4 linked regions of the Notamacropus eugenii genome follow. The protein of the gene in region 4 purifies or fractionates together with the protein of the main gene of each other region. This does not show direct contact. Links are inferred from orthologs where the notes say so. Each region holds a gene or a part of one and is shown on either strand. Other genes may lie near its edges. The genes, in order: BCAP31, UQCRC2, RAB2A and VDAC1.

What was found.
Region 1: the proteins of VDAC1 (region 4) and BCAP31 purify together in Homo sapiens (affinity purification with western blotting; 3 studies listed by BioGRID, with this or other methods). This does not show direct contact. The link is inferred for Notamacropus eugenii from reciprocal best matches to the Homo sapiens genes VDAC1 and BCAP31.
Region 2: the proteins of VDAC1 (region 4) and UQCRC2 fractionate together in Homo sapiens (co-fractionation; 3 studies listed by BioGRID, with this or other methods). This does not show direct contact. The link is inferred for Notamacropus eugenii from reciprocal best matches to the Homo sapiens genes VDAC1 and UQCRC2.
Region 3: the proteins of VDAC1 (region 4) and RAB2A purify together in Homo sapiens (affinity purification with mass spectrometry; 3 studies listed by BioGRID and IntAct, with this or other methods). This does not show direct contact. The link is inferred for Notamacropus eugenii from reciprocal best matches to the Homo sapiens genes VDAC1 and RAB2A.

What each region holds. Positions count from the first base shown.
Region 1 is NC_092879.1:22,532,372-22,539,636, forward strand, and holds the start of BCAP31 (B-cell receptor-associated protein 31), read right to left. Parts: upstream 3,141-7,265; 5' UTR 2,905-3,140; intron 1,744-2,904; 5' UTR 1,688-1,743; coding exon 1,596-1,687; intron 1,100-1,595; coding exon 999-1,099; intron 1-998. Other genes in the region: ABCD1 (ATP-binding cassette sub-family D member 1), read left to right, coding at 3,971-4,909. UniProt on the Homo sapiens protein: Functions as a chaperone protein. Is one of the most abundant endoplasmic reticulum (ER) proteins.
Region 2 is NC_092874.1:397,018,505-397,025,860, reverse strand, and holds the start of UQCRC2 (cytochrome b-c1 complex subunit 2, mitochondrial), read left to right. Parts: upstream 1-4,354; 5' UTR 4,355-4,709; coding exon 4,710-4,742; intron 4,743-7,356. UniProt on the Homo sapiens protein: Component of the ubiquinol-cytochrome c oxidoreductase, a multisubunit transmembrane complex that is part of the mitochondrial electron transport chain which drives oxidative phosphorylation.
Region 3 is NC_092875.1:279,689,639-279,696,963, reverse strand, and holds the start of RAB2A (ras-related protein Rab-2A), read right to left. Parts: upstream 3,172-7,325; 5' UTR 2,760-3,171; coding exon 2,714-2,759; intron 1-2,713.
Region 4 is NC_092872.1:341,433,465-341,440,531, reverse strand, and holds the start of VDAC1 (non-selective voltage-gated ion channel VDAC1), read right to left. Parts: upstream 3,060-7,067; 5' UTR 2,897-3,059; intron 2,154-2,896; exon of another isoform or gene 2,048-2,153; intron 1-2,047. UniProt on the Homo sapiens protein: Non-selective voltage-gated ion channel that mediates the transport of anions and cations through the mitochondrion outer membrane and plasma membrane.

The sequences.
Region 1 (7,265 bases), on a different chromosome or scaffold from region 4:
GGATTGAGATTGAGTCAAGAGTTCCCGAAGCTACCCCACCCTCCTCTCCAAAAAATCCTGGTCTCAAAATGGTCCAAGAACAACAGAGATACTCTTTTGCCACTACCTGACTCAAAACCTTGGTAGTGAGAGTACCCTGCTTAAAAGCAGCTACCTTACAAAATACTTCTAAGTCAATGTGAATCTATAGCCATCAGTATGGTAAACAAGCAGCTGGCATTGCACATGTTTGAATACTGATGTGTCACACCCATCTTGCTAAGATGCAACCTTGCCTGGACACATCTCCTTGAATCTTGTGAATTAAGCTGCCAAGCCCTAGGAAGACAAGTAGGATAGGGGCATACTATTGTTACAGCACGGAGGTTCTTCCCTGCTTGGACTAACGGGGAAACCTGAGACCAGTTAGAGAAGCCATTAAAGCTCTTTTGGAGCAGTGACATTTTCTTCACCCCAAGGTGGGGTGTGATTTGCTCCAAGTCCCAAAGCGGGTTAAGTGATCTAGGTTCTAGTCCCAGTGGCAACATCAGCTCCCAAGTCCAATGCTTTTTCTACTCTCATTCATTGCTTTTCTTGATTCTGTTGGGAAATTTACTTTTTTTTGCCTTTCTTTTGACATAGGCTCTTCAAGGATACAAAAAAATGGGACTCTGTTTACCTTTGCAACTTTTAATGGGCCTAGCTTGTTCAATCTCTGTACCTAAAACGTGGTTACCAGAAGAAGCTTGCTCAAGTCTGGGGTCCAGATCTGTTGGACCAGTGGCTAGAACCTGGTACTAATGCGAAGGCCAGGCATCCTGGAGACCATCCAAAGCATCTATGGATCAACAGTGCCATCCCTGTTTATGAAGAATATCAGAGGACAGATGCCTAAGATATGTACAATCTGGTAAGGGGGGTGAGACACAACTGTGAAAATTAGACAAATGGAAGAAATGGAATTGTGAGAGGTTCCTATTTGGGATACTGCTCACCACGACCACATCTCTGTCACTCACCAATGAGAAGCAGCACCAGGATAACAATGAGAACCACAAAGAAGGTGTTGCCATAGCTCACCACCAGTTGCACCAGGCGGGACTTAAAGATCTTCTGCCATCTAACGAGAAAGAAACAGAAGCTGGAGATACTCAAAGTACCCTGGGATCCCTCTCAGCCCCAGATACTTTCTCAACTTTCCAGTCTGGGGAGTCTGTGCACCTGGACCGACAATTGCTTAATTACAACAGACTGACACTTCTGGAGAGAAGTATTAGGTAAGTGTTAGAACTAAGGAGAATCAGCTTGCATAAGGACCCCCAACCTCCCACATCCACCTCCATCCTAGGAACCTGGCTGCACCGCAGACACCCAAAAGTGAAAGGGGAATGGGAAGAGAAATTGGGAGGATTTCATGTAGGTGAAACACTTTATCTAAAAAATATGAAAAGCAGATGGCTCTGCCTCCCTTTATGAAGAATCATTCCACTAGGGAAGCCCTGGAGGTCCTATCAATTAGCCACCAAACCTATACACGTAGGTCATGGGGCTCAGCATTGCACAATTCATCATAAAGGCACCTTGAGCTCTGAAGTTGATCACTCAATAGGCTGTACCTTTTGGGAGAAATGAAAGGAATGCAGAGCAGCAGCACAGCAAAGACCTCTGCATAGAGGAAGGTAGCAACCGCAGTCCACTGAAGACTCATCCTTAGTCACTAGTTGGTTTTGACCTGGAGGCAGAATAGACCAACCTCTGAAATGTCTGAAAAGATTTGAGGAAACACAGGCCATGAGAAAGGGGTGGAGGTGAGGAGCTGATCAATGAGCAACAAATTCTTGAAGAAACTGTGCTGATCCATACCTCACCAATCCTTCTTCTCAGCTTTAAAAACCATACTACGTTCCTTCAAACAGGAATTAAAACAAGCAAGTGAATTAAGCCACATTAACATAGCTGGGGGAACCTATCAACAACTTCTAAAGGACCAGGGGACCCCTTGGTTCTGGTAAATAAATTAATCTACTACATAATTTACTGAAGTCTTCAGAGTATGGGTTTTAAAAGCCCCAAACACATGAACAGACAGTGTGATTCACAGGACTACTATGTCCCTTAAACCAGGCACCCAAGTAGAATCTTGAGATGCCAGAAGTCAAAACTAACTGACTTCCGGTGGGAAAAGCACTAAAGAGGATGTGTTTGATTCCCAAAACAGGCACCTGAGTGACTCTGGGTAGGCCATTTAATCTCGCCGGGTTTTATTTTATTTTTCCAATTTGTATAATACAATAACAAATTAATAACGATAATAACCGCAGTCTCTATTTACATGGAGATATAAAGTTTTGCAAATCACTTCGCACAGATTTGGTAAAATGAATTAATTGGAGTAGATGACTTGGGCCCCTGCAAAGGAGAATCTGGAAATGGCTAGGTCTTCCAGATAGGCCAGAATAAGGTCCCCTTCTCTCCAAACAAGTAACCCTACTCCACCCCTCTGTTGGAACCTGATCAGGGCCCTCTGACTATGCAGCAGAAACCCTTCGCTCACGCCCTCACTAAATGCACCTCCTGACCAATTTTCCCCGGCACTCTGCGACAGATCTGGTTAGCTGGCAATGCCAGGACGCAGGCCTAGCTCCGCTCCCTGGGGCCGAAGGGGTCCTGCTCCCTTGGCAGCAGCCACCCCCACCGCCTGCGCGGCCTCGGCCGTCTCCCAGTACCCTACCCCCTCCCCGCCCAGGCATCGGGACGTCCCCTGTCCCCCCTCCTCTCCGGTCTTCAGCTCCACGCTCGTCCGAAGCGAGGGGGCCGCCACCTTCAGGGCCCGGTAGCTTCACGGGGGTCCTTTCCCTTAGTTCATGGCTCCCCCCTCAACTTCTGGCTGGCCCCCTGGCCGGGTCGGACCCGCCCTCTTCTCACCTGCGCGCCTCGGCACCACAGCCGTAAGATTTGAGTGCCCGAACTCAGTATTCTCCCACCCAAATTCCGCCCCTCAGCCTTGTGTCCACAGACCGGAAATCGGAAGTTGGAGGGTCAGGCCCCGCCTCCTGTGCAGTCTTCCACCAACCACCGCACCGCTTCCACCTACTGCTACAGCAGCCTCGGAGGGCAGGTAGGAAAGCGTGAGTGCGGGAATGCGCATGCCCAGGAAAGGGGCCAGAGGGCGCTCTCTACCGATGACGACACCCCTGAGGGCGGGGCCAGCCGGGGGTGGGAGGGGTGGGAAATGGCCTCTCTAGTCAACTGAGTCCTCCAATATCTCTATGATTTCGGAGGCGAGGCGGGGAGTAGCTAGAAGCGTGAGGTGGGCGGGGTCTCTGTAGCCCGCGGCGGCCGAAGCAGCTGCAGCTCCTCCTCCTCCTCCTCCTCCCCCCTCCCCATCTCGCTCGCCCCCGGGGAGGGGTGGGTGGGGATTATGGGCCGGTGGCGGAGTCACTGTCGCTCCAGTCTGGCTGAGGAGCGGTCGAGTTTGCTGTCCTGGGGAGGGGCCGCGCCCTGGGAGGAGGAGGAGGAGGAGGAGGAGGAGGAAGAAACAGAGGAGGAGGAAGAGAAGATAGCACTCCCTTCCCCGGCCCCCCTCCACCCCAAATCCTGACCCTACGTGGTCCACGGGGCTGTCTGGGGGTAGGGATCACTGACTGACTGAGGAGGGTGAAGAGGAGAGATAGAGACAGAGAGGAGAGAGCAGAGAGAGGAGAGACAAACTGGAGAGAGGAAAAGTGTAGAGACAGAAAGGAGTGACTGACACACAGACAGACTGAAAAGAGCCAGAGACATAGAGGAGGGACCCAAGATTGACAAAAGAGAGACCCAGATTGACAGGTACCTGCTTGGTTGCTAGGGCAACCACCTCAGTGGATGCCCTGTGGCACCCCTGGTTTCCTAGGAAACGGCCTAAGGGGCCTGCCCGCAAGGCCTTAGTTGCCCGGGTAACCTCCGCGGCCTCCGCTAGAAGCTCGGGTGCCCACCCTTCCAGGCGGGCGCCATGCAGGTGCTCTCGACGGCGCGGCCCTCCCGGGCGGCCTCCCTGCGGCGCCTGGCCGTGGTGCTGGCCCTGACGGCCTACGGGGCGCACAAGATCTACCCCCTGGTCCGCCAGTGCCTGGTGACGCCGCACCCGCGGGGCCCCCCGGGCCGGGCCGAGGCGGAGGCCCGCAGCGCCTCGGGCTCTTCGGCCGCCGGGGCCACGGGCAGTGGCGCCAGCGGCAGTACCAGCGCCAGCGCCAACCGCGAATTCTTGCGCCGGCTGCTGTGGCTGCTGCGGCTCCTGTTCCCCAAGGTCCTGTGCCGGGAGACCGCGCTCCTGGGCCTGCACACGGCGGCGCTGGTCAGCCGCACCTTCCTGTCCGTGTACGTGGCCCGCCTGGATGGCCGCCTGGCCCGCTGCATCGTGCGCAAGCAGCCGCGGGCCTTCAGCTGGCAGCTGCTGCAGTGGTTGCTCATCGCGCTGCCCGCCACCTTCGTGAACAGCGCCATCCGCTACCTGGAGGGCCGCCTGGCGCTGGCCTTCCGCAGCCGCCTCGTGGAGCACGCTTACCGCCTCTATTTCAGCCAGCAAACCTACTACCGAGTCAGCAACATGGACGGCCGCCTGCGCAACCCTGACCAGTCCCTCACTGAGGACGTGGTAGCCTTCGCTGCCTCAGTGGCCCACCTCTACTCCAACCTGACCAAGCCCTTGCTCGATGTGGCAGTGACCTCGTACACCCTGGTGCGCACAGCTCGCTCCCGGGGAGCCAGCACATCCTGGCCGTCGGCCATCGCAGGCCTGGTGGTCTTCCTCACGGCCAAGGTGCTTCGGGCCTGCTCCCCCAAATTCGGAGAGCTGGTGGCCGAGGAGGCCCGCCGCAAAGGGGAACTGCGCTACATGCACTCGAGAGTGGTGGCCAACTCGGAGGAGATTGCCTTCTACGGAGGCCACGAGGTGGGGAGCCATGGGGGATGTGGAGGATGACAGGGGAGACAGGGCCCACATTGGGGAAAGGCTTCAGTTGTCCAAGGAGTTGGTGGCAGAAATGAGGAAGGAAAGGGGGGAGGGGTATTGGGGTTAGTGGTGGAAGAGGAACCTAATGGGGAGGTGGGGGTTCAGACTTTGCGGTCGGGTGAAAAAAAGGGAGGTTTCAGGAAAGGTTGGAGATTGATGTAGGAGTATGTTGTGTGTGTGTGTGTGTGTGTGTGTGTGTGTGTGTGTGTGTGTGTGTGTGTGTGTGTGTGTAGGGGAAGTGTCCCTGGGGGTAGCACAGGGGAAGATCATGATGGTGAGGGGTTCTCTCCCAGCTCCATCTAAATTACAAACTGCTGCTTTCTTTGACACTTCTGTTTATTTTGTTCTCGAGACTGGCTGCCAGAAAATCTTAGCGGTTTCAGACTAGAGCATCCCATTCAAGTCTCTGCTTGTCTATCTTCATACCCGAGAGCCTCCCTGGCCCCCTCCAACCTTGTTCCTTGAGGTTCTTCCAGTCCTCCATGCTCTAGGGCAAGTTTCTCTTTGCCCAGAGCCCTACGAGGTCCCAGGGCTGGGTCTGTCTAACCTAATGACTGAGCTGGGAAGATGCCAAGGACTGGGAATGTATTCTCTGAGGACCAAGCTCTTGGCTTTCATGCTAAGGGGTGGGGAAGAAGAAATGCAGAGTCAGAGGCACTCAGAACCACAGAATGCAGGGCTTTCAAAGTTTGGGAAATCTGGGATGTTTTTGGTTCCAGTGGAAGGAGGAGGGCAGCTTGGGGCCAGGGAAAGGGGGAAATGGAGAACTGCCATTTGCCATGTGACTTGAGCTGGTTGAATCAAGACCCGGCTCCTTGATTGTCTGACCCCTCCCTATTCTCTGTTGTTGAAACCCAGGTAGCCCTCTGATGGGCCTCTGGAAGGCGGGGGTGTTCAAAGAATGACTCAGACCCAAGCTCGGTTAACAAGCGGCACCAGCAAAGACTGGCCATTTGGGATTAGGGGTCAGGTCTTTGCTGACCTCCTTCCTCGTCTCTAGGATCCAATACCAACATGGCTCCTTGCCTGCAAAGTTTCTCAGTCGGATTGGGGCCCCGTGCCTTCTCCCCCACCCCCCTTCCTCATTTCCTTGAAAAGGAGGGAATGAAGGGATGCTGAGATAACAGACCTAGTCGACAGAGATCACGGGGAAGTTGTGTAACTCCTGTTTGTCCTGGTCTCAGCTGCCAGTTTTCCCCTTGTATCCTTTCCTCCTCCCACACTCTACTGTATACCTATTTCCCCGCTAGGGAATTGGATACTTGAAGGCTATCTTGAGCTCATTTTTCCCACCCCCAGCAGGGCCCCTCGGGGGACTAGGCTGGTATGGGCCACTTCCTGCCCATGCTTCCCCACCAAGGGAGGGTGTCCGCCCTTCCGCAACCCTGGCCAAATCCCACTGTCCTCTCGGGGAGACCGCTCCCGGATCAGCCTTCTCCTGGCAGAGTCTGCCCCCGGCAAAAAGATCAGGAATAAGATCTGTTATGGTTTTCGCTGCCAGTGGCTAGGGCCTCTGGAATGTTCTAACGGGGTGGAATCAGCCTCTGCCTTAACTGCATAACCATGGGGCTCCGGGAGAGGTTACTCCGGGCCAACGCTCTCTTTATCACCTTCTCTTCCCTTCTTGGGGCTGGGGGCTTCATTGCGCAGGCGCCAACCTCCTTGTTTCACTTTCACCCTGTGCTGCAGAATGGGTATCTCCCCTGTCCCTCTGCCTGTTGACGTACTTTCACTTCGAGCTCTTAGTGGGAAGGGGCCCTAAAGGGGACGGTCTTTCTCCAAGATTCCTTTGTACTAAGCTGTGTAATTTGGGGAAACCTTTATCCCGATGTTTGTTCAGCAGGTGACACGTGGCTTGTGGGGGAAGTGTGTAATCGGGTAGGAGGGATGAAGAGGGGGCCGGCATTATATCCACCCTCCTGAGTTAGGTATTTAAAAGCTCCACCTTTGGAGAAGTCGGAGGGAGCAGCTATGAAGAGTGTTCTGGCCTTCCCTTAAGATTTTGAGCTATAGGGCATAGGACTTCAGATCCCACCCACCAGGCTCCCCCAGGAAAGGGAGCCCTGGAAGACAGCGTTGAATGAGAGCTACTTGGCAGAGACCCCATAGCTACTTTGTCCACCAGGATTGAATCCCCTTATGCCCAGCAGGACTCTGGATTCAAGTGTGCTCAGAGAATGCAGACTCATCCCTTTACTGGTAGAACTTGCTCCCAGCAAACACAGTCCAATCTATGACAATCTGGATTTATAGCACAGATAATTAGAGGAGGAGAACTTATGGGCTTTATCAAAGG
Region 2 (7,356 bases), on a different chromosome or scaffold from region 4:
GGCAGGAAGCAAAGCACAGTCCAGCATGGGCCACATCAGCAGAGACCAGCTGAAGCAGGTCTCAAGGGACTGAATCATTGGCAGCTGTGGCTGTTTTTAGAGTTCTCAACTCACAAATGTCAAAAAGGTCAGTGGAAAACTCTGTGGGATTTGGGTGAAAGAAGAGCACATGGTCTGGCCAGGTCCAGCCCCAATCCCAGCAGTGGCACCAGAGGCAGCAGTGGCAGCAACAGGAGAGGCTGCTTTAGGAACTCTGAGACAACAGACAGTGGGGGATCAAGTGGCTGATACAAAATCCCTGAAGCCTGGGAGAGTACACCCACACCCACACCCACACCCATACCCACACCCGCACCCACACACACTGGAAATAGAATACTACCTTGACAAAGAGTTAGAAAGTAAATGTTTGGCTGGGAAGATAAGTAAACATTATAAATGAACTCAGACTATAGAATCTTACTTTTGTGACAAGATTAGGGCATACAAACAGAGGAGGACAGCAGAGTCAAAGCTCAACATCAAAAGCCTCCAAGAGGAATATGAATTGGTCACAGACCATGGAGGAGCTCAAAAAGGATTTTGAAAATCAAGTAAGAGAAGTAGATGAAAAATGGGGAAGAGAATGAGAGTGATGCAGGAAAATCATGAAAAATGTCAACAGCTTGCTAAAGGAGACCCAACAAATACTGAAGAAAATAACACATTAAAAAAATAGACTAACCCAAATGGCAAAAGAGGTCCAAAAAGCCAATGAGGAGAAAAATGTCTTAAAAAGCAGAATTGCCCAAATGAAAAGGGAGGACCAAAAGCTCCCTGAAGAAAATACTTCCTTCAAAATTAGAATGGAGCAAATGGAAGCTAATGACTTTACGAGAAATCAATAAATTATAAAACAGAACCAAAAGAATGAAAAATAGAAGACAATGTGAAATATCTCATTGGAAAAAGAACTGACCTGGAAAATAGTTCCAGGAGAGATAATTTAAAAATTATTGGACTACCTGAAAGTCATGATCAAAAAAGAACCTGGACATCATCTTTCAAGAAATTATCAAGGAAAACTGCCCTGATATTCTAGAACAAGAGGGTAAAATAGATATTGAAAGAATACACTTATTGCCTCTAAAGAGAGACCCTAAAAGGAAATCTCCTAGGAATATTGTAGCCAAATTCCAGAGTTTCCAGGTCAAGGAGAAAATATTACAAGCAGCCAGAAAGAAACAATTCAAGTACTGCGGAAATACAATCAGGAAAACACAAGATCTAGCAGCTTCTACATTTAAGGGATTGAAGGGCTTAGAATATATTCCAGAGGTCAGATGAGCTAGGATTAAAATCAAGAATCACCTACCCAGAAAAACTGAGTATAATGCTTCAGAGGAAAAAAAATGGTCATTCAATGAAATAGGGGATCTTCAAGCATTCTTGATAAAAAGACCAGAGCTGTATAGAAAATCTGACTTTCAAAGACAAGAATCAAAAGAAGCATGAAAAGGTAAACAGGAAAGAGAAATCATAAGACACTTATTAAAGTTGAACTGTTTACATTCCTACATGGAAAGATGATATTTGTAATTCATGAGACCTTTCTCAGTATTGGGTAGTTGGAGGAGATAGATAGATAGATAGATAGATAGATAGATAGATAGATAGATAGATAGATAGATAGATAGATAGATAGGCAGGCAGGCAGGCAGACAGATAGACAGACAGACAGATAGATAGATAGATAGATGGGACAAGGTAAGTTTAATATGAAGGGATGATATCTAAAAAATAAAATTAAGGGGTGAGAGAGGTATATATTGGGAAAAGGAGAAAGGTAGAGATGGGATGGAGTAAATTATCTCACATAAAAGAGGCAAGAAAAAGGTTTCACAATGGAGGGGAAGAGGGGAGAAGTGAGAAGAGAATAACAAACACACTCAATGGGGTATCTTACCCTACAGGAAAGTAGGGAGGAAAAGGATAAGAAGGAGGGGATGATAGAAGGGAGGAAAGATTGGGGGAGGGAGTGGTCAGAAGCAAATACTTTAGAAGGACAGGGTCACAGGAGAAAATAGAATAATTGGTGGGGGGACGATAGGATAGAGAGAAATATTGTCTTTCCCAACATGACTATTAATGGAGGTGTTTTGCATAACTACACATGTATATATATTGAATTGCTTGAGTTCTCAATGAGGGTGGGTGGGGAAGCAAGAAGAGAGAGAATTTGGAACTCAAAGCTTTAAAAAACAAATGTTAAAAAATTGTTTTTACATGTAACTAGGAAATAAGATATACAGGCAATGGGGTATAAAAATCTATCTTGCCCTTCAAGAAAATAAAAGAGAAAAGAATAAGAAAGGGGCATGATAAAAGGGAGGGCAGCCTGGGGGAAGGGGTAATCAGAATGCATGCCATCTTGGGGTGCAGGGAGGGGAGAAATGGAGAGAAAATTTGGAACTCAAAATCTTTAGAAATGAATGTTGAAAACTAAAAATAAATTATTTTTTTTAAAAAAGATAGAGTTTTGCTTTCATGAGAATCTTAAAGTCAGTAAATGAGCTCTGCAGTTTCCCAAGGGCATTTTAGGCCATTTTCTTACTCTTTTTCAAATCTGAATGCAGCCCACTGACTATCAGTACTACCTTTCCCAAATATACATACTGTTGAACAAGTTCTATAGGGTATCATCCAACTGCTTGTTGAAATTTGGGCAAGACATTCTTCATCTACTGTCTTTTCTGGGTGTTTAGACAGGACAAACTCCTTTGTGTAATTTGACATAAGGACAGAAGATGGGCATTTATTAAGTGTTTACCATGTGTCAGGCATGATGCTAAGCACTGGGAATACAACAGCAAGAAAACAAGATGGTCCCTGTTTTCAGGGAGTTTTTGTTGTTCTTCAGTTGTTTTCAGATTTATCTGACTCTTCATGATTCCATTTGGGGTTTTCTTGGAAGAGATCCAGAGGGGTTTGCCACTTCCTTTTCCAGCACATTTTCCAGATGAGGAAACTGAAGCAAACAGGACTAAGTGGCTTGCCCAGAGTCACACAAGCTAGTAAGTGTCTTAGGTCACAACTGAACTCAGGAAGATGAGTCCTCTGGACTCTAGGCCCAGCACTCTATCCACTCACCACTTAGCTGCCCTTCAGGGAGCTTACAGTCTAATAAAGGAAGATAGGAAATAAAAGGGCACTGAAAAGTAGCTGAGGAAGGGTGGGAAGGTATCACGTGGGGACCACAGAATGAGCTGGAGATGCAGAACGCATATCTAAAGATCCTTTCCTAGAAGCTCTGCAGCGTCCTGGGGCTTGAGGTAATCAGCAGAATGTCATCCAAAAACAGGATCCCTTTTCAACTTGGACTTCACCCTGGATCTCCTCCATCGCAGCGGCGGCTACCTTTGGCAAACACGGATCTCCCTTTTGTATGCCTCACCTGATATTTCTTACCAGAGAGCCATCAAAAAGGATTATCTGCCACATCATCTCCTATGGGTTCAGTGATCATCTCTAGGAGAAGATTCTCAGAACCATACAACAAATCCTACTAGTCTCTCCTGGGCTAGAATCCTACATCTTCAAATGCGTCTTCCGCATCTCAGAGTGGGTTTCTCACAGGCACCTCAGACTCAACACGTCCTACAGAACTTACTGTCTTGCAAATGAAGGCACCTTCCTCCTCTCCGCCACTCACTCGGGCTGGCAGCCGTGGCTACCTATATCCATTCCGTAGGATACGCGTCTGGACATTTCGGACCTCACAGCTCCCATGTGCCTGCCCACCCTTGCTCAGTCCCTCTCCGCTTCTCACCTAGACTACTGCAGTCACTTCCCAGCTGGCTCGTGGGCTTCACTGTCCACTCCAATCTATCCTCCACACAGCTGCCAAGGACCATGTCACTCAAGAAACTCCAGGGGCTCCCTAATACCGCCATGGTCAAGTAGAAAGTCCTCTGGCACTCCAAGCTCTCCAGCCTGAACCCTTCCCACCTTTCCCAACAGTTTATTCCCCTCTGGACTGCATTCTGCCACCCAGCCACACTGGCCTCCCTGCAGTTCTTGAAAACAGCATTCTGTGCTGTCTGCCATGCCTGGAATGAACTGCCTCCTCATCTCTGCCTTTTAGTTTGCCTGGCTTCTACAGGACATGCGCACAGCAAGCACTTAGCCCGCGCCCGTCCAATTTAACCAAAGGCTTAACTCGAAGAACTCTCTGACCTCTCCTTCTGCTTGAAGATGAGCCCGCCCTCAACCTGCCCACGTGGTAAAAGTGGGGGGGAACGTAGAGGAGGCGGGGCCCAGAGGCTCTAAGGAGCTGATTGGTGCCCATGGCAAGAAGAATCCAAGTTGGCAGTGGGGGAAGTCGTTACTACCGGTTTTACCCTTCATCCAGTCGTGAAGGGATAAGGAAAATGTCACCTAGCAAAATGAACGTGGGCTAATATTAAAGTATTTTTTAATGGAAGTCTTGAAATTTACAGGCAGTGGTAAAAAGGGAATCGGCATAAGAAATGAAGGCCTCCCCCAGCTGCGCAGGGCGTGACTAAACGCCTCTTCCGGCCCCCCCGCCCCGGGCTAGAAGCAGTAGAGAGCGCTCGGTGAAGAGAGGCCTCCCGGAGGGAGCGCGAGGCATTCTGGGAAACGGAGGTCCTCCGCCTCCATCTTGCTTTCTCTAATCCCTGTCAGTACGGGGTCACGAGTGAGTCGGGGCCATGAAGCTGCTAACAGGCGCTGGATCTCTCTCGGTGAGCGCAGCCGGCTTGGCGGAGGGCGTGACGGGCTTCCAGGGGAGGGAAGGGGGCTGGTGTGGTCGCCTGGCTCGGGTTCCTCCGTCAGGCTTCCCCGTTCTCCCCTTGTCCTTCAGCTGAACCCTACGGAGGGAGCAGGCGGCCGGGTCCGGGGCGGCTGGGGGTGACGGCTCTGTCCCCTGGGAGCCGAGCGGAGGCCCGGGTCGCCCCTTCCCGAAGGACTGAGGGGACACCAGTGAAGGTCATGCTTGTGACCCCGCTCCGTGGGCGGGGAGGGTCGGAGCCACACCCTCCGCTCGAACCCCTGAGGGTGAAAGCGGGGACTTGGGGTAAAGACCCTCCTCGAGGATTCTGGGTGGGCTGTGCAGAAAAAGGCCTCCTCCGGGTCCGCACCCCAGCCTTCCTGCAAAGCGGGGAAATGCTTCGGGGCCCGGGGCAGCAGCCTCCCCTCCCCCGCCCCGAGCCTTCCCCGCTTGTTTAGGGGGGAGGTCCACGTGTCATCCGCCCTCCGGCTCCCCGGACCCGGGGCCTCTCCTGTCTGGGGTGGCTGTTCAGTGAAATGGTGGGAGATCGGTTTTTATTGAGGTCTGAAGTCTGGTTACAGAGGGTCCCTGGGCCCTAGTGCTTTGTGAACCACAGAGCGCCATAAAAAGCGAGTTATTGTTTTCATTTCATGCAAGTTTATTTTTATGGAATCCAGTGGTTTCCATTTGAGGAGAAGGAACTTTGGAGCCAAGAATTGAAACATTTGAATTATAATTGTACGGAATAACGACTTAGAGGGTGTGTTGGGGGGGTTGGGGAAGGGGGCGCAGGGGTTATAGGATAGCTGCAGCAAAGTATAACCGTGTATATGTTACGTATATATACCCTTGTATCACCGGTATGCATAGCGTTGCCCAGTCTTGGGTGATCGAGCCCCAAAGGGATTTTACAGGGCCATGTAGATAGGGGTTATTACAGGACACAGTAAAGGATAAACATACAATTGATTACCTTAGGAAATTATGTAAGCAACAGATATAAAAACAGATGGATTGAACTAAATGACATTTAAGCCCCCTTCTAAGAGCTCCTACTGAAAATATTAGATAGAAGGTCCTTGACGACTTCAATTCCAGAGGCTCTCTGAATGCAGATTTCTTTTGCTCCATGCATATCACTTCTTCAGATGTTAATGTCTCCTCAGCCTAGAATGCTGGCACTCTTCTGTATTTTTCGGGACCATCATACCTCTTTTGATATCCTTTGCCTTTTCTACCCAATCTGAACCCCTAGCTAACTTATTGCAATAATATTTTCACTAAGAATCTAACATCCCTGGGACCCTTGACCTTATGTTGTCCCTTTGTGATCTGAAGGGAATTTCTGTCAAACCCTTTCCCTGAAGCAGCCACTGAAGATTGGTAGTGGTGAAAGTAATAAAACCATACAAATTGTTTCTACTATAAATCAGTACTATTTAGTTGATGTGTCAGAGTGGAAATTGCACTGGACTGAGTGTCAGAATAACTAGTTTCCTATTCATGTTGTGCCATTGACTGTGGTTTCAGGCTCTGCACAAGATAATCTTTAAGGCTCTTTCTGTGTAAAATATTTTTATATGAATTTATCTTATATTTGTGGACCCTTATTTTAGGTGATAATCCTTTTACTCACCTTTTATTCTCTAATGCAGAAATATCCAACTGTGCCTAACCAAATAAAAAGGTAATTGGGAAATGTTTAACAAAAATAAAAATGCAGTACTGTGTAGGTAATGTTAATTTGTGGTTTTCTAGGTCAATATACTGCTCATAGGGATCGTAATCTGTTTTACATGACTGCTTTAACGTGTTCTCCAGAAGAGTGCTGTTTAAAAAAACAAACTACCTTTTCCCATTTTACTTAAGTCTCCTTTGCTTTCATGTAATGACCTTTTTTTTTTTGGTAACTGGATATAGAGCCATAGGCTCTATCTATATGGATAAAGAGCCATATTTTAGAACCCAGAGAAATTTTAGGCATTATCTACCTCTGCCCTCATGTTATAAATAAGGAAATGGAGACTGAGAGAGGTTTAAGTGACTTGCTCAAAGTCAAAGAAGAAACTAGTGACTGAGCCAGTCTGAGTCAAGTCAACAATAGCACCTTCCTCTTGGGATTAGCATGAAGATCAAATGAGATTAATGTATGTAAGACACTCTCTAAGACCCAGAGCACTAGAAAGAACTGGCACTATTATTCCTACTATATTGTGTTGTTCCCTCCTGAGTTATCAAATACTATTTAGATCTCTAGTTCTTTGAATACATATTGACTAAGGTGAATGAATGGAGACATTTATTTAGCTGTACAGAGCACTGCGCTAAGCACTAAGGATACAAATACAAAAGTAAGACTGGCCCTGTTCTCAGTCAAGTCACATTTGAATGAGGAAAGCAGTGCATTTCAGCTGCAAGTCTGAAATATCAAGGTCAGTGCCCTTAGGGTGCAAAGCAGATGGTTAATTCCTCTCCTCTAATGTCATTTCCATTGATAAAATCCTTTCTGATACCAAACTGTTTGATGATCCCATAGACTTTGATGGCAAGAATTTTCTTTTCTGGGTCTTCAGTGACAGTGGCTATAG
Region 3 (7,325 bases), on a different chromosome or scaffold from region 4:
AAGGAATCTGCAGGTGAGAAAACTCCCTTAATCAAGGAAAACTGACATCTTTGCAGCTTAGCCTTAGCAAGGGAACTGAGAGGTTAAGTGGCTTTTTTTAGGGTCATCCACAAAGAATGTCAGAGGTGATATCTGCACTAGTTTTTTATGCTACATACACACAAAGTAATGATAGGAAAAAAGGGAAGCACTGGAGCCAATCAGGAAAAGGTCTCATTCAGAAAAGGTGGCATTTAGTGGCAGTTTGAAAAAAAACAAGGAATCCTAAGAGGTTACAGTGGGGAGAGAGAGTTCATTCCAGGCAGAGGCACCCACAGCCCATGCAAAGAAAGGCAAAGAAGTGAGATTGCAGAATCTTGGTGAACTGTAGGGTGCTCAAAAGGGAATAATGCACAAACAAGGTTCAAAAGGTCCGTAGGGCCAGGGTTGTGAAGGGCTTTAAAAGTCAAATATAGTTTAAGGTGACCACTGAGGTTTACTGATTCAAAGAGTGACACAATGAGACCTGTGCCTTATGAAAATCACATGACTTTAGTAGCTAAATGACCAAGAAAAAGGAAAACATTTTGGTGGGAATAAACAGGATGCTTGGGGGCTGCTTTGGATAAATTCCACCCACAACATCTAATGACAGATCCTTTTCTCCAAAGGCAACCACGTGGCCATCTCTCTTTACTGCCTTACTTTCATTACTTGGTTATCTAAAATATGTTATTTTCAAAGACTTCTCATATTCCCAGTTCCTATCCCTTTCCACTAGGACAGACTATCTTTGACTAACAGTCTAAGCTCCACCCCCTCTCATGCTCAGGTGTACCATAGCAAATTTAGAAATTTGTATGTATTACCAAATAAAAAGTCCAGGAAACTGAATTATCTAGCATACTATCTTGAAAACAATTTATTTCCCATATCCCTTAAGAACATGCGGATTCTACCAGTGTTTTAGTGTCTCTTGTCATTCAATTAAGGGATTTTTGTGAATGTACTATTAAGTACTGCCACATCTTTGGGGCAACTGCAAGAATATATCCAAAGTTGTGCAAGAGTCACCAATGAAATCAGACTCTTGTATATTAATAGTTGAAGTTGTGACACCAAGTTAACTAACACCTGAATGAGGCTGTTTTATTATTAGATTCAAAGCAGTATACCAAAACAAAAAGTATTAAGTGAACTGATTTCAGATACAATAAATCTAACATCCTGGGGTACAATTTTAAGAACATTTAAGTTTCTAGCTGCTTCAAAAGGAAGCCTGGTCTCCCATAAATTACCTCCTGGATTAACCCAAGAGAACCTAAGTTCCTTAAGGGTAGAAACTTTTTCTTTGGTAATACGACAACACCACCTTACAGAGAGTACGGACTTAGCAGTCAACAAACATATATTAAGCACCTATGTGTTAGGTATGAGGGATAAAAGGAAAGCAAAAACAAAAGACCTAGTTTCTGCTCTCCAGGAGCTCAGTCTAATCTACATACAAACAAAATCTTATGCAGAAAGAATTCATGCAAGACTATTAAGATGATCAGAAAAGACTTCCTGTAGGTGAGATTTTAAATGGAACTTGAAGCCAAGGGACAAAGACTAGAAGGGAGAGAATTCAAGCCAAGAGACAGCCAGTGAAAATACCTAGGGTCAGGAGATGAAGTGTTTTGTTCAAGGAGGCCAGTGTCACTAGACAGCAGAGTATGGGGGTGGGGGAGTAGAGAGTAAGGTGTAAGAAAACTAGAGAGGTAGGTGATCAGGCAGGTTAGGACGGGCTTTGAACAAGAGAGAGACGATTTTCTATTTGATCCTACCGGTGATAGGGAGCCAATGGAATTTTATGGAGTCGGTGAGTTAGGATTTAGCTTAGAAAGCTAAAACATGGTATATTTCCCAAATCCTAGTATTTCAATGTTACACATTAATAGGATTGATATGTAAAAACTTAAAAAAAAAACCCTACAACTGGCTTAATTACCTAAGATATGGTGTATTTCCTAAATCCTAGTATCCCTGTAACACATTAATAGGATTGATATACAAAAAGTAAAAACAAAACAGTTGTAGAACTGGCAATAGCAACTGTTTGCAGTAACTTGTCAGCAATCAGGAAAGATCTTCAGGATCCAGTTTGACACTCTGGTGACCTCACAAGGTTTTTTCCCAGGGTTCTAAGGCCAAAACCATTGTTGCCTTAAGCGAGATGTAAAAGGTTATCGCACTCCCTGTTCGGGGAGGCAAGCCCAAAGCCTTCCCGGCCTAGGAACTGCAGTAGCAGCCGGGACATCATCATTAAAGTCACGAAAGATGATTTCCAAGTAAAAAATACGCAAGCAGCCAACAGCCTCCCGGCCCGGCCCGGCCCCTCTACCTGCCCGCAGGCCGGGGGAGGGGCTGCGGGAGGGTGGGTGGGAGCTCCAGGCCTGGCCCAACCCTCCGCGGCAGCGGTCTCGGGGGGTCACACGTGGCCGTCCCGGAGCCCGAGGCCTGGAGCGGCTGGGCCCGGGCTGGGCGGGGGCCCGGCAGGCCAGGCCGCAGAGGCCGCTCGCAGTGCCCACGTCACCGGCTCCAGCACTGCGGAAATGGAGCCGCGGCGGGAGGAGGGGAAAGGGTGGAGGAGAGGCCGGAGGCGGGGGAGGGAAGCACCCGCCGCCAATCGCGCTCGGCCCCGCGGCACGGGGGGCTCCGGGGGCCGCAGCCCACCCGTCGCCGGGCGACTCACCTGTGTCGCCGATGATGATGTATTTGAAGAGATAGGCGTACGCCATGGCCGCGGCCGCTCCGTGCCCCCGGCACACGGCTCCTCCTCCGCCTCCTCCCCCGAGCCGCGGCTCCTCACCCCGGCCCTGATCAAGATCTCAGACGCCGGCGTGCCCGCCCAGAAGAGGAGCTCGGCGGCAGCGACGGCGCGGAGTCGGCAAGCCGAGGGAACCGAGAAAACGCCAACACGACGCCGGCAGAGGCGAGATGAGCCTCGCTGCCCAGCCCAGCCCCCTCCGACCTCGACCCGGAAGAGCAGCCGCTGAGCCGGCAGTCGGAGGAACGGAGGCGGATCGCCGGAGGATCGCCCTCCCCCGCCCGTTCCCCCGCCCGTTCCCCCGCCCCCTGCTACGGAGGGCGGGGCCCTGAGCGGAGCTGAAGGGAGGGAGTGGGTGCGGCCAAGCCCAGATTGGAAAGAACAGCGGGCGGAGGGGGAGGGGGCGGGGACTGGAGGAGGGGCGCGTCTCGCGCACGCGCACACCAGACGTGCCGGGCGGTTCGTGCTCCGAGGTGGGTGGGCGTTCCCTGCGCTCGTGGGGGGGAAAACCCAAAACCTACGTCTGAGACCTTTTCTGGTGATAGTTGGAGGAAACAAATGGTCATTTGGAAAACAGTTGAAAAATGTGAAAAAGAAATCCTTACCATCTCCAGAGCACCAGTTCCCTGACACTACCTGCCAGCTAGGCATCTTCATCCGGAGGTCCCTGAAGGCGCCTGTCAGGCTCTACGCTTGTCAATGGACAAGCGGTGTGATATTGCTACATGTTACCATGTGCCAGATCGGATGCCAAAGCTGGAATGTCCAAAAACTAGGCGTGGAGAAGAACCAGCCTTTGCCCTCAGGGGGCTTACATCCTAATGGGAGCCAGACAACAAATAAAAGGCAGCAGAAAGGGGAGGGAGAGATCAAGGGGAGGAAGGTCCAGGTAGCCAAGTTTGGGGAGAGGGCAGGGGGTAGCCAGAGGAGAAGGGAATACAGAGTTGTTCTTACCCAATCACAGGGAAGGGCCACAGAGGTAGAGGATATTTTCAGTGTGGGGATTCTGGGGTTGCCATGATCTTCCAGGAAAAGAGATTTCTGGAAAAGAATAGATTCTGGAATACTGACTGGTAAGAAATTAAGATATGGAAGATGCTTTGCAAACCTTAAAGCGCCATAGGAATGTTAGCTATTATTCTCTGAAAAGGAATCCTTTATCTTGTCAATCTTGTTCCTTTCTTTCAGTTTGTATTATTTCTCCTGGGGTCCACGCTGTTACCCAGGTTACTAACCTCAGAAGTATCCTTAATTGTGCCCATTCCCTTACCCTCCTCCACATTTCATCAGTTGCCAGGTCTTATTTATTCCACCTCTCCCATATTATACCCTACTTTCCACTGGTACAACTCCCACCCAACCGCCATTGTCAGATCCTCATTACTTCACAAATTGATTTCTAGGAGAGCACCCCAAAGACTAACCTGGCTTCTATATATAAAGTCAGGCTACCCACTTAAAGCCTATCACAATCTAGGTCCTATCTGCCTTTTCACTTCCTCTCATATAGTCTTCATTCCTAATACCTGTTCTTTAACCAGATCTGGGCATTCCATCTGTAGTCTGCCCTCTTATAGATTGCCCTTCATGCTTAGAATGAATTCACTTCCTAACTCTTATGTTCCCTTACTTCATTTGAGACTAAATATAGGTACCACCTTATATTGGAGCAAAATTTTACTCATCCCTTGTATATTCAAGTAATCTCTCCTTCCTGTGTACTTATATCTGTACATATTGTAATCTTAACTGAATAGAAATTCTGTAAGGGCAGTAACTGTTGATTTCTCTTTTTAATCCTCAATACCCTGCATATATGTCAAACTGAAATGGAGAGTCTTATAGATTTAAAATTGCCTTAGGAACATTAAAATGTGTTTTGTGTAACCTTGCTCACAAAATTAACATGTTTTGAGATATTAAAATTTAGTTCAGTCAGCAGAGACCAGTGGAATAGGTTAGGTACTCAAGACACAGTAGTCAATGAATACAGCAGTCTATTTTTTGATAAACCCAAGTACCCCAGCTTCTGGGATAAGAACTCATTGTTCAACAAAAATTGCTGGGAATACTGAGATAGGGCATAGACCAATGCCTGATGCTGTACACAAAAATAAAGTCCAAATGAGTACATGATCTAGGTATAAAGACTGACAGTATAAATAAATTAGTGGAGCAAGGAATAGTATATTTATCAAACTTATGGAGAAGGGAACAATTTTTGACTAAACAAGAGATAGAAAACATTATGAAGTGCAAAATGGATAATTTTGATTACATTAAATTGAAAAGTTCTTGCACAAACAAACCCAGTGCAGATAAGGAGGGAAGCAGAAAACTGGAAAAGAATTTTTGCAACTAGTATCTGTGATAAAGGCCTCATTTCTAAAATATATAGAGAACTGAGTCAAATGTACAAGAATATGTCATTCTCCAATTGATAAATGGTTGAAGAATATGAACAGGCAGTTTTCAGAAGAAGAAATTAAAGCTATCTATAGTCATATGAAAAAATGCTCTAAATCACTATTGATTAGAGAGATGCAAATCAAAACAACTCTGAGGTACCATATTACACCTATCAGGTTGGCTAACATGACAAAACAGGAAGATGATAAATGTTGGAGAAGATGTGGGAGAGTTGGAACACTAATTCGTTGTTGGTGGAGCTTTGAGCCCATCCAGCCATTCTGGAGAGCAATTTGGAACTATGCCCAAAGGGCTACAAAAATGTGCATACCCTTTGACTTAGCAATACCACTTCTAGGACTCTATCCCCAAGAGATCATGAAAATGGGAAAGGGTCCCACATGTACAAAAATATTTATAGCAGCTCTCTTTGTGGTAGCCAAAAATTGGAAATCAAGAAGATGCCCATCAATTGGGGAATGGCTGAATAAATTGTGGTATATGAATGTAATGGAATACTATTGTGCTATAAGAAATGATGAACAGGAAGACTTCAGAAAGGCCTGAAAGGACCTATATGAACTGATGTTGAGTGAAAGGAGCAGAACCAGGAGAACTTTGTACACAGCAACAACCACAGTGTGCAAGGAATTTTTCTAGTAGACTTAGTACCTCATTGCAATAAAAAGACTTAAAAAATTCCCAATGGACCCTTGAGGCAAAATACTTTCCAGATCCCAAGAAAGAACTATGGAATTGGATGGCAAAATGAAGCAATTTTCTTTTGTATTATGTTTTGTTTTGTTTAATGATTTCTCCCATTCATTTTAATTCTTCTATGCAACATGATTAAGATGAAAATGTATTTAATGGGAATATAAATATGAAATTGTATGTCAGATCAGGGAGGGAGTGGGAAAGGAGAGGGGAAGGAGGGGAAAAAATCTAAGATATATGGAAATGATTATAGAACATTGAAAACAAATAAAATAATTTAAATAAAAAATAGAAAAAAGTTTAGTTCATTCAAACAGTAATTACACATTAAGACAAGAACATAACTACTATGCCCTCTCAGACAGATATCTTTGTGATGGTAAATTAGGTCATCTTTTCTCTCAATTTTTATCTAGTCTTTAGTCATTGAAAATGCTTTGCCTCAGACAAACTGGGACCTGGGAAAGACCTTAATTTAGAAAGGCCAAGGTTACCCACCACATCTAGGGCCATGGTCAGTCATCTTGACTTTCATCTTGCTACTGAACTTCGTAACAGCAGGGACCCTAGCATACACAGGAAGGCCTGCTGCACAGGTTCTTAGGTCTGGTTTTCTAAAAGGAACGCAACTTTTGAGGGGTCAGCAATCAATTTTAATCAAACACATATATCATTCACTTAGGTAAGGGGGAAAAGTCAACACCCTGAAATTTAGAGAAAATACAAATAGAAATTACAAACAGAAAGACCAACAGGCAGGGCTTCCAACTGTCTGACCATAGACAATACATACATAGATATCAGACGGGGAAGCACCAATATCTGGGTTTTCAAAGCCAGGGGTCTCCTTAGTAGCTACCCAGAATCTCATCTGACACTCAAACCTTCTTCCAAAAAAATAACCCCAAAAGCAAAACCTCACCTCAGAGTTATATATATATATATATAACCTTTGCAGGACTGGAGGGCATGACCCTTGTGACCCAGTTCCTCAAAGGTATCTGAGGCCTATCAATGGGTGAGGAAGATCTTTAACTCTTCCCATCCACCCACCATTAACCTTACATTAACCTTATAGACTTCCATGACTCTGAGGGGAGAATTTTACTTAAAAGTAATTCACAGGAAAGTCAAGACATTACTTTGTTGATATCAATGATCATCTTCAAGAATGAAGAAAGAACAACTATTCCAGAGAGCAAATAAACAAGAGGGACCTTATTAAATTACCTTTTAATTCAATATAGTTTTACTCTTGAAAAGTTGCATCATACTGCTTATCTACAGTATTCATAAATAGCAATGTTTTTATTGCATAGTCTTTAGAAAATATTTTTGGAAACTAAAAGCATGAGTAACAGTAAATATCTCATAGCAAATATTTTGTGCATCCTTTAAAATTCATTATTTA
Region 4 (7,067 bases):
AAGTGATTTTCAAGTTGGTACCATTCATTCTTTTGCTTAACACATTTATAAGCCTACAGTGGACTTTTTGGGAAGAAACTCTTATGAAGATATGCCTTTCCTGCCTACAAAGAGGTGGTCAGGGGAAATTGCAAATATCTGATAATTCACTGGTTTGATGCCCTCCATTCTGATTTGTCACTTGGATGTGGAATTGCGGGAAGAATACAGAGGGTGATGCTGATGATGAAGCATCTTCTCCAACAGTCACCAAAGAGCAAAATGAGGCTTTGCACAAGTTTTACAAGATTCTATCAAAATTATAGGATCATAACATTCAAATACAGTTCTGATTAGACACTGAGAGCATTTTTAGAAAAGATTTAAGTTAGTAACACAGTAAAGCAAAAAATGCATTAACTGGCACTTAGAAGACCAGATTCCTAGTCTTGGCTCTGCTGCAAACTTGCTATGAGATTTGGGGCAAATTGCTTACCCTCTACATGCAGAGGAAACAATAATATGCTATGTAACAGGATTAAGGAAAAGATAAAATAAAAAAAAGAAATAAAGACAAAGGAATTTTGAAAACCTGGATGCTCAGTTTTTGGATGACTCAGTCGAAAGTTGCTAGGCCATCCAGGGGGAGGCTGAAAGATTTCCAAGTGTACACGAGTGGGCTAAAACAAACTCACTAGCCTTTTGCAAGTATCATCAGTTCCCCAATCTTGGCTGGGGCCTGTGAAAGTCAGGGGAATTGGTGTTTCACTTTGTTTAAAGAGACAATGTCATGATGGGGGAAAAAATATGTAATCTATTCTTGAACAGAACTTTGGTTCTTGGCATCTCATTCAGGAATGCATACTTAATCTTTGTTAACTATAATATTATTAGCTCAGAGCTAAGCAATGGGTTAGGAACTGACCCACTCACAACCAAAGGCTCATCTAAGAGAAACTGGTGCATCATGGATCCTGCCAAGTCGTCAAAAATTGTGAGGAGGGATGTGTATCACTACATCACTAACACTAAAATATAAGGAGGTATTCAGAGTCATGAGGTATCAGAGTAGAAAAAGACCTTAAATATCACAAAGTCCAACGCCCTGGCTGAGGTCCAGAGAGGGGACTTATTCAAGGTCATAAAGTGAGCTAGTGACAGAGCCCAGACTAATTTAAGGCAGGCAGATTTTTTTAAAAAGTTTCTGACCACACCCACCAATATGTAAATGACTTTGACCAAGCAATAATTAATTTTCAATTTCCCATGGAAAGTATATTTGGGATAAAGAGGAGACCAGAAGTATTTTTCTAAGTGCACAAGACACTCATTCACACACCCTCCTCCTATCCTTTTCTTTCTTGCATTAGTTATTTGTGCAAACCTCTTTTCCCCTTTAGATTGGAGAGAGAAGAGAAGGGAGCGACCATGGTTAAGACTCCCTCATGGAGACACCAAATGACTTTTAAAAATGTATTTCAAAGGACTTTTGGGGGCTTTTAGCAATTCTAACAGCTGCAGCCAGCAGATCTGAGCTATTTCTTCCAGCCACCCAGCAGTTATCACTCTAATAGGTTATCCTCATTAAGCTGGGGGGAGAGGGGGCGGGGAGAATGTGGTTTCGAGTAGAGTCATTTCCCCTTGAACATTTATTTCTCACTCCTCTAATTATTCACCTCAGTGAATGGCCGAGGTTAATAGCAACTATGTAACTAATTCACAAATCTAGAAAATGCTAGAATATTTATTTGAGCAAATCTTCCCTGATAATTCTAGGGACGTGTTTCACAGAAGAACAATCACGTTAGGCACAAGGAAAACAAGATTTCGATAATGCAAATATCCCGGCACAGGGAGCCAGGAGACTCAAGCTGGAGACTCCGTCTCGCTCAGAACAGTGTGACCTTGGGCCAATTCTTTTTCCTTCTTGGGTCTCAGTTTCATCATCTGGGACCAAAATGGGGATTAAAACCCATTATCTCTAGGATCCCTTCTCTTCCTAACACAGAATAATTTGCGAGCGAAGGTATTTCTGTTTCCACAAAGGTAGAATTGCACCCGGTCTCACCGTAGGCCATGTGGCCTGCTGTCTGTGTGGCTGGGCCGCTGTCAAGGGCCGCTGCTATCCAGGGACAGTCTTCGAGAAAGCAGCGCCAACCAAACACCAATTAACCCTGTGGGCATGTTTTAATAGAAGGCCAAAAAGTGGGCGACAGTGCGAAGTCAAAGTGGGGAGACTAGGGGTCTCTATCCACCGGGTGAGGCCCGGGTGGAAGCCAGGCGCAGGTGGAGTTTGGGTGCCCGCGGCTGGGGATGTGCACTAGAGAGGGAAGCCAAGGCGGTGAGAGTGCGGGGGTCCAGGGGCTGCCTCCGGCCCGACCGGCAACACGGTCCGCACACGCGGCCCCGCAGCTCCCGGCCGGGAAGGTCACGTCCCCAGCAGCGCTGCGTGGCGCTGCGCCCGGGCCTGCCAGCTTCCCTCCCCAGCGCAGGCCCCTAGCCCGCGCAGCCCCAGGCAGGGTCTCGGGGAGCACGGGCGCGAGGCTGAGGGGGCCAAAAAGCGGGGCGCCAGCAGGGCCCCCCCTACCCCGGGCCAGGGCTCCCAAGAGGGCAGCGGTGACAGTGCAGCGCGGTCAGTCCGGTTCGGCCACCGCAGCCCCACTCATTCGGCGCGCCCCCACATCCCGGCCGGGTCGGGTTGGGTTGTGCCCTGCTAGGCTGCGCCCGAGGGCCCCCGCCCCAGACCTCAGGGTCAGGCTCTAGGCCAGGTCGCCCGGGCAGTGGCCAGGGTAGGCGCAGCAGCAGCTCCGCACGAAATCAAGCAGCCTCCGCCGATCTGTGCCCCAGCCTTGACGCCTCCGGGGCACAGAAGGGAAGCTGGGGGGATAGAGGGCTTTTTGGGGGGGGGGGTCCCTACCTTCCTCTCCCGGCGAACGCAGCGGGAGCAGCAGAGGGCGGCGGACACAGAGGCAAAGGGGCGGCAGAGGCTGCGGGGGAGCGGGGCGGGGCGCGGAGCACGGCGGCGGCGCGAGCCCGCCCCCGGGTGCGGGCTCCTCCGGGCTCCGAGTCAATCTCCTCCCCTTCTTCCATTTTTCCTTTCCCGCCTCCCTCCGCTGCTCTTGTCCCCACCCTTGCTTCCCTTCCCCCTCTCCCTGTCCTTCCCCCCTCCCAGTTTCCTTTCTCCATCTGTCTCCTGCCTCTTGTGGCTTGTTTAGAATGGCTGCTTTCGACGTGTATGCACTTCTGTGTCTGCCCTTGAACCTATGGGCTCTTCTGCTCTGCTCCCATTTCCACAGCACTTTGCATTTTACAGAGGACTTTCCTTACAACTCCATGTGGTAGACAGGCAAGGATTATTATCCTCCATTTTATAGATTAAGCTCAGAGAAGTTAGTTAGAAGTCTTGCCTAAGGTTTTAAAGCTAGTGAGTGGCGGAGCCTTTTTTTCCAATCCAATTCTCCGATCAAGTATCCTTCAGTCCAAAAGCTCTTTCTACCACTCCGAACTGCCTCTATTAGTAAGCAACATACTTTATCCTAGGTCCACAATTTTAGATCTAAAAGAAATCAGTCACACTTAATAAACAGAGAAAAAGCAGTAGGTTGAAAATCACTATTCAAATCTGAACTGTTATTTGCTTACCTGTATGACTTTGCACAAATCACTAATCCTCACTGGACCTCAGTTTCAACGTGGTTGAAAATGGAGATTCAGCCTAGATGACACCTAAGGTTCTTTCTAGCTCTAAATCTGAGCTCAGTTCTCCCAGGAACCTCTCAGGATTCTGAGCCACAAGCCTAATTCTTGATCTCTCCTGTTTGTTTTGTTCTTTGACAATTTCATGTTCCACCTTTGGAAACCAAATTAAGTTGTGCTAGGGTTGGCATATCTGAGGACAGACAAAATAACCATAAATGTGGCCAATCACAATTGGTCACATATACCATATGTGACCATATACTTTTGCCCTGTGCTTCACCAGGTGCTGACTTGACATACCCTGTGACTAAGGGGCTATTTGGGTTCCTTATCTTGTAGTTCCAAGAACTAGACTCTTCATAACTTAGGAGGGGTTGGCGTCATTGAAAAATCACTGAGATTGAGCCAGAAACCATGGCTCTGCCTTTGGGCTCCAATCTGAGACAAGATCAATGAACCCTTCTTTGCCTTGTAAAAACCTATTGAGACTGCAGGTTCTGAACATCAGTAATCATGTCCCAGGACTTAAGATATATATGTAGAAAGTACAGGGATAACAACAGTAATAATAACTGACATTTTATATTTCCTTATTGTACTGGTAGTGAAGGTGGGAGGGGGAAATAACCCAAGAATCTAGGACAACTTGGAATGAATCACAGAAGCATCTAAATGCTCCATTTTATCTAACAGAATTACACAGAGAATATCTCTACAATGTATCTTCTATCTCTAACGCAAGAGGTAGAAATAGTATCTCTTCTTTGCTATCACAAAGATTAAATTATAATGTTTCTTGTTTCTATCCTGGCTCCCTCTTACTCAAACAATCATAGATCCACAGAATACCAGAACAAGAATGATGATGGGGAAACTGTATCAGTAAGCACCGAAATATATACAGTGGGGCCTGCTACCACAGGTTCTTTGATCTGCTTCTCTAAAGGGAAAGGCAACCTTTGAGGGGTTAACAATCATTTTAATCAAGCAAATGTATCATTCAGTTAGTTCAGGAGAAAAAGTCAGCACCTGAACTTCAGAAAAAATACTAAGAAATCAAAAGTCAGCACACATGCTTCTAAAATGTCTGCCCATTAACATATACACATTTTTACCAGAGAGGGAACATCTGGGTTTCTCAAAGCGGGAGGGAGAAGGACTCCTTAGCTGCTTCCCAGAGTCCTCCTCTGGCCAAACAAACACTTCTAGTCAGTAAGCTGCAAAATAAAACCTTACCTTCAGAATATTTATACACACTTTTCAGAGCCAGAGGGCATAACCCGCTGATCCAGTGCCTCAATAGAGAAAACAAAAGGTATTTGGGACCTTCCTACAAAACAACTCCCCTAATCAAGCTTCCCTCTAAGGGCAGGCCCATCAACGGATGAAGAAGATGTTCTTTAATCACATCATTTTAGTAAAATAAAAACAGCAAAAGATCCTAATTTGATTGCCATCACAGAAATTGAGACAATGAGGAGAGAATTAGTTGGGACTAGAACCTAGGTCTCTTGTTTCCTGGTCACTTTTTTTTTTTTTGTAAATAATATTTTGTTTTTTCCAATTGCATGTAAAGATAGTTTTCAACATTCATTTTTGTAAGATTTTAAGTTCCAATTTTGCCTCCCTCCTCTTTCCCTTCTCCCGTCCCCTAAAGAGCAAGCAATCTGATGTAGGTTATCTGTGTGCATTTATGTTAAACCTATTTCCACATTAGTCATGTTTTGAAAGAAGAAACAGAACAAAAAGGAAAAAAGAATCCAAAACCCCACACAAAAGTGAAAATAGTATGCTTCAATCTGCATTCAAACTCCTTAGTTCTTTCTCTGGAGGTAGATAACATTTTCCATTATGAATCTTTTGAAATTGTCTTGGATCATTGTATTGCTGACAAGAGATAATTCTATCAAAGTTAATCATCAAACATCGTTGCTGTAACTATGTACAATATTCTCCTGATTGCTTGCTTTCTTCAGCATCAGTTCAAAGTCTTTCCAGGTTTTCTGAAATCTGCCTGCTCATCATTTCTTATAGCACAGTAGTGTTCTGTTACATTCATGTGCTACAGCCATTCCCCAATTGATGGGCATTCCCCACAATTTCCATTTCTTTGCCACCCAGTCACTCTTAACAGTCAACAGCACAATCTTCATTCTTTGACCTCCAGGCACTGCCTAAAGCTGAAATCAAATTTCTATCTCTTAAAGTGCCATACCATACAGTATGGTATAGCAGTGGAGGTAGTGTGAGAAGACCTGTGTTTGATGCTTACCCTGGACAGTTCTGGACAAATCATTTCCTCTGTCTGGAATTCAGGTTTCTCATCTGTAAAATAGCAATAATTATATTTGCAATGCCTGCCTCATGCCTTGCAGGGTTATTAGAAAAGTGCTTTATATATATTAATGTACCTGTAATGGAGGTAGATTGACCTGGCCACTCCTGATACACACTATGACAAAGAGGGCTTTTTTGAAAAAATGTCATGGACTCTTTATCCATGACTTTTCATTACCTAGACTGACTCTAGCCTAGATCAGTGACCTTGGGCAAGACCCTTCCTTTCTGGGAAATTCTTATTGTTTTAGGATTTGAGAGAATAAGCATATACCTGTATATCAGCTGATGAAGGGTTGGTTTAGACACTCAACTTTAGTGCAAACACTGGATTTGAAGTCAGAAGATCTACATTCTAATCTGGCTTAATACACTCTCTCTCGGCTAGTTTCCTCCATCATCTATAAAAGGATTAGAATAGATTATCTCTTTGGTCATTTCCATCTCCATATCCTATGAACCATGAAATAAATGAGTGCACTATAACTAAATTTTACTACTTTCTGCCCAGACATTGTGGCCTTCTCTCAAACTACTGTACTTTTGCTTAGGCTATTCCTTAACTTAGGAATAGCCTACCTCCTAGTATTTGTCTATTGAATTCCCTACATAAAAAAAAAAACCTCAGAATCAGAGACACTGAATTGAAAGAAACCTCAAAGACCATCCTGACTAAGAATTCTCTCTACAGCATCCCTGACAAGTAATCAACCAATCCCTACTTAAATATTTCTAGTAAAGAAAAGTCTGTCACCCCTGGATCAAACTCCTATACATCGGCAGTCCTCTTAGTCTGCTTTTAAATTGCTCTAATTCTTAGAAATTTAGCGATTTTGTGTTGAGGGCTAGGATGGAGTGCTGTTGGCAAAGTTCAGGATAGAACTTCAGGGAACCTATTCTTTAAGACTGTGCTCATTATCATCCAGAATGGCTCTCCAGGTCCCCCTCCCAAGTTGCTGTCTCTCTGAAATAGTGAGATAAGCAAGAGAACTAGGGAATACAAGGGATATGTAAAATAGATGCCCTCTAGGCTAACATTCTTTAAGGCAATA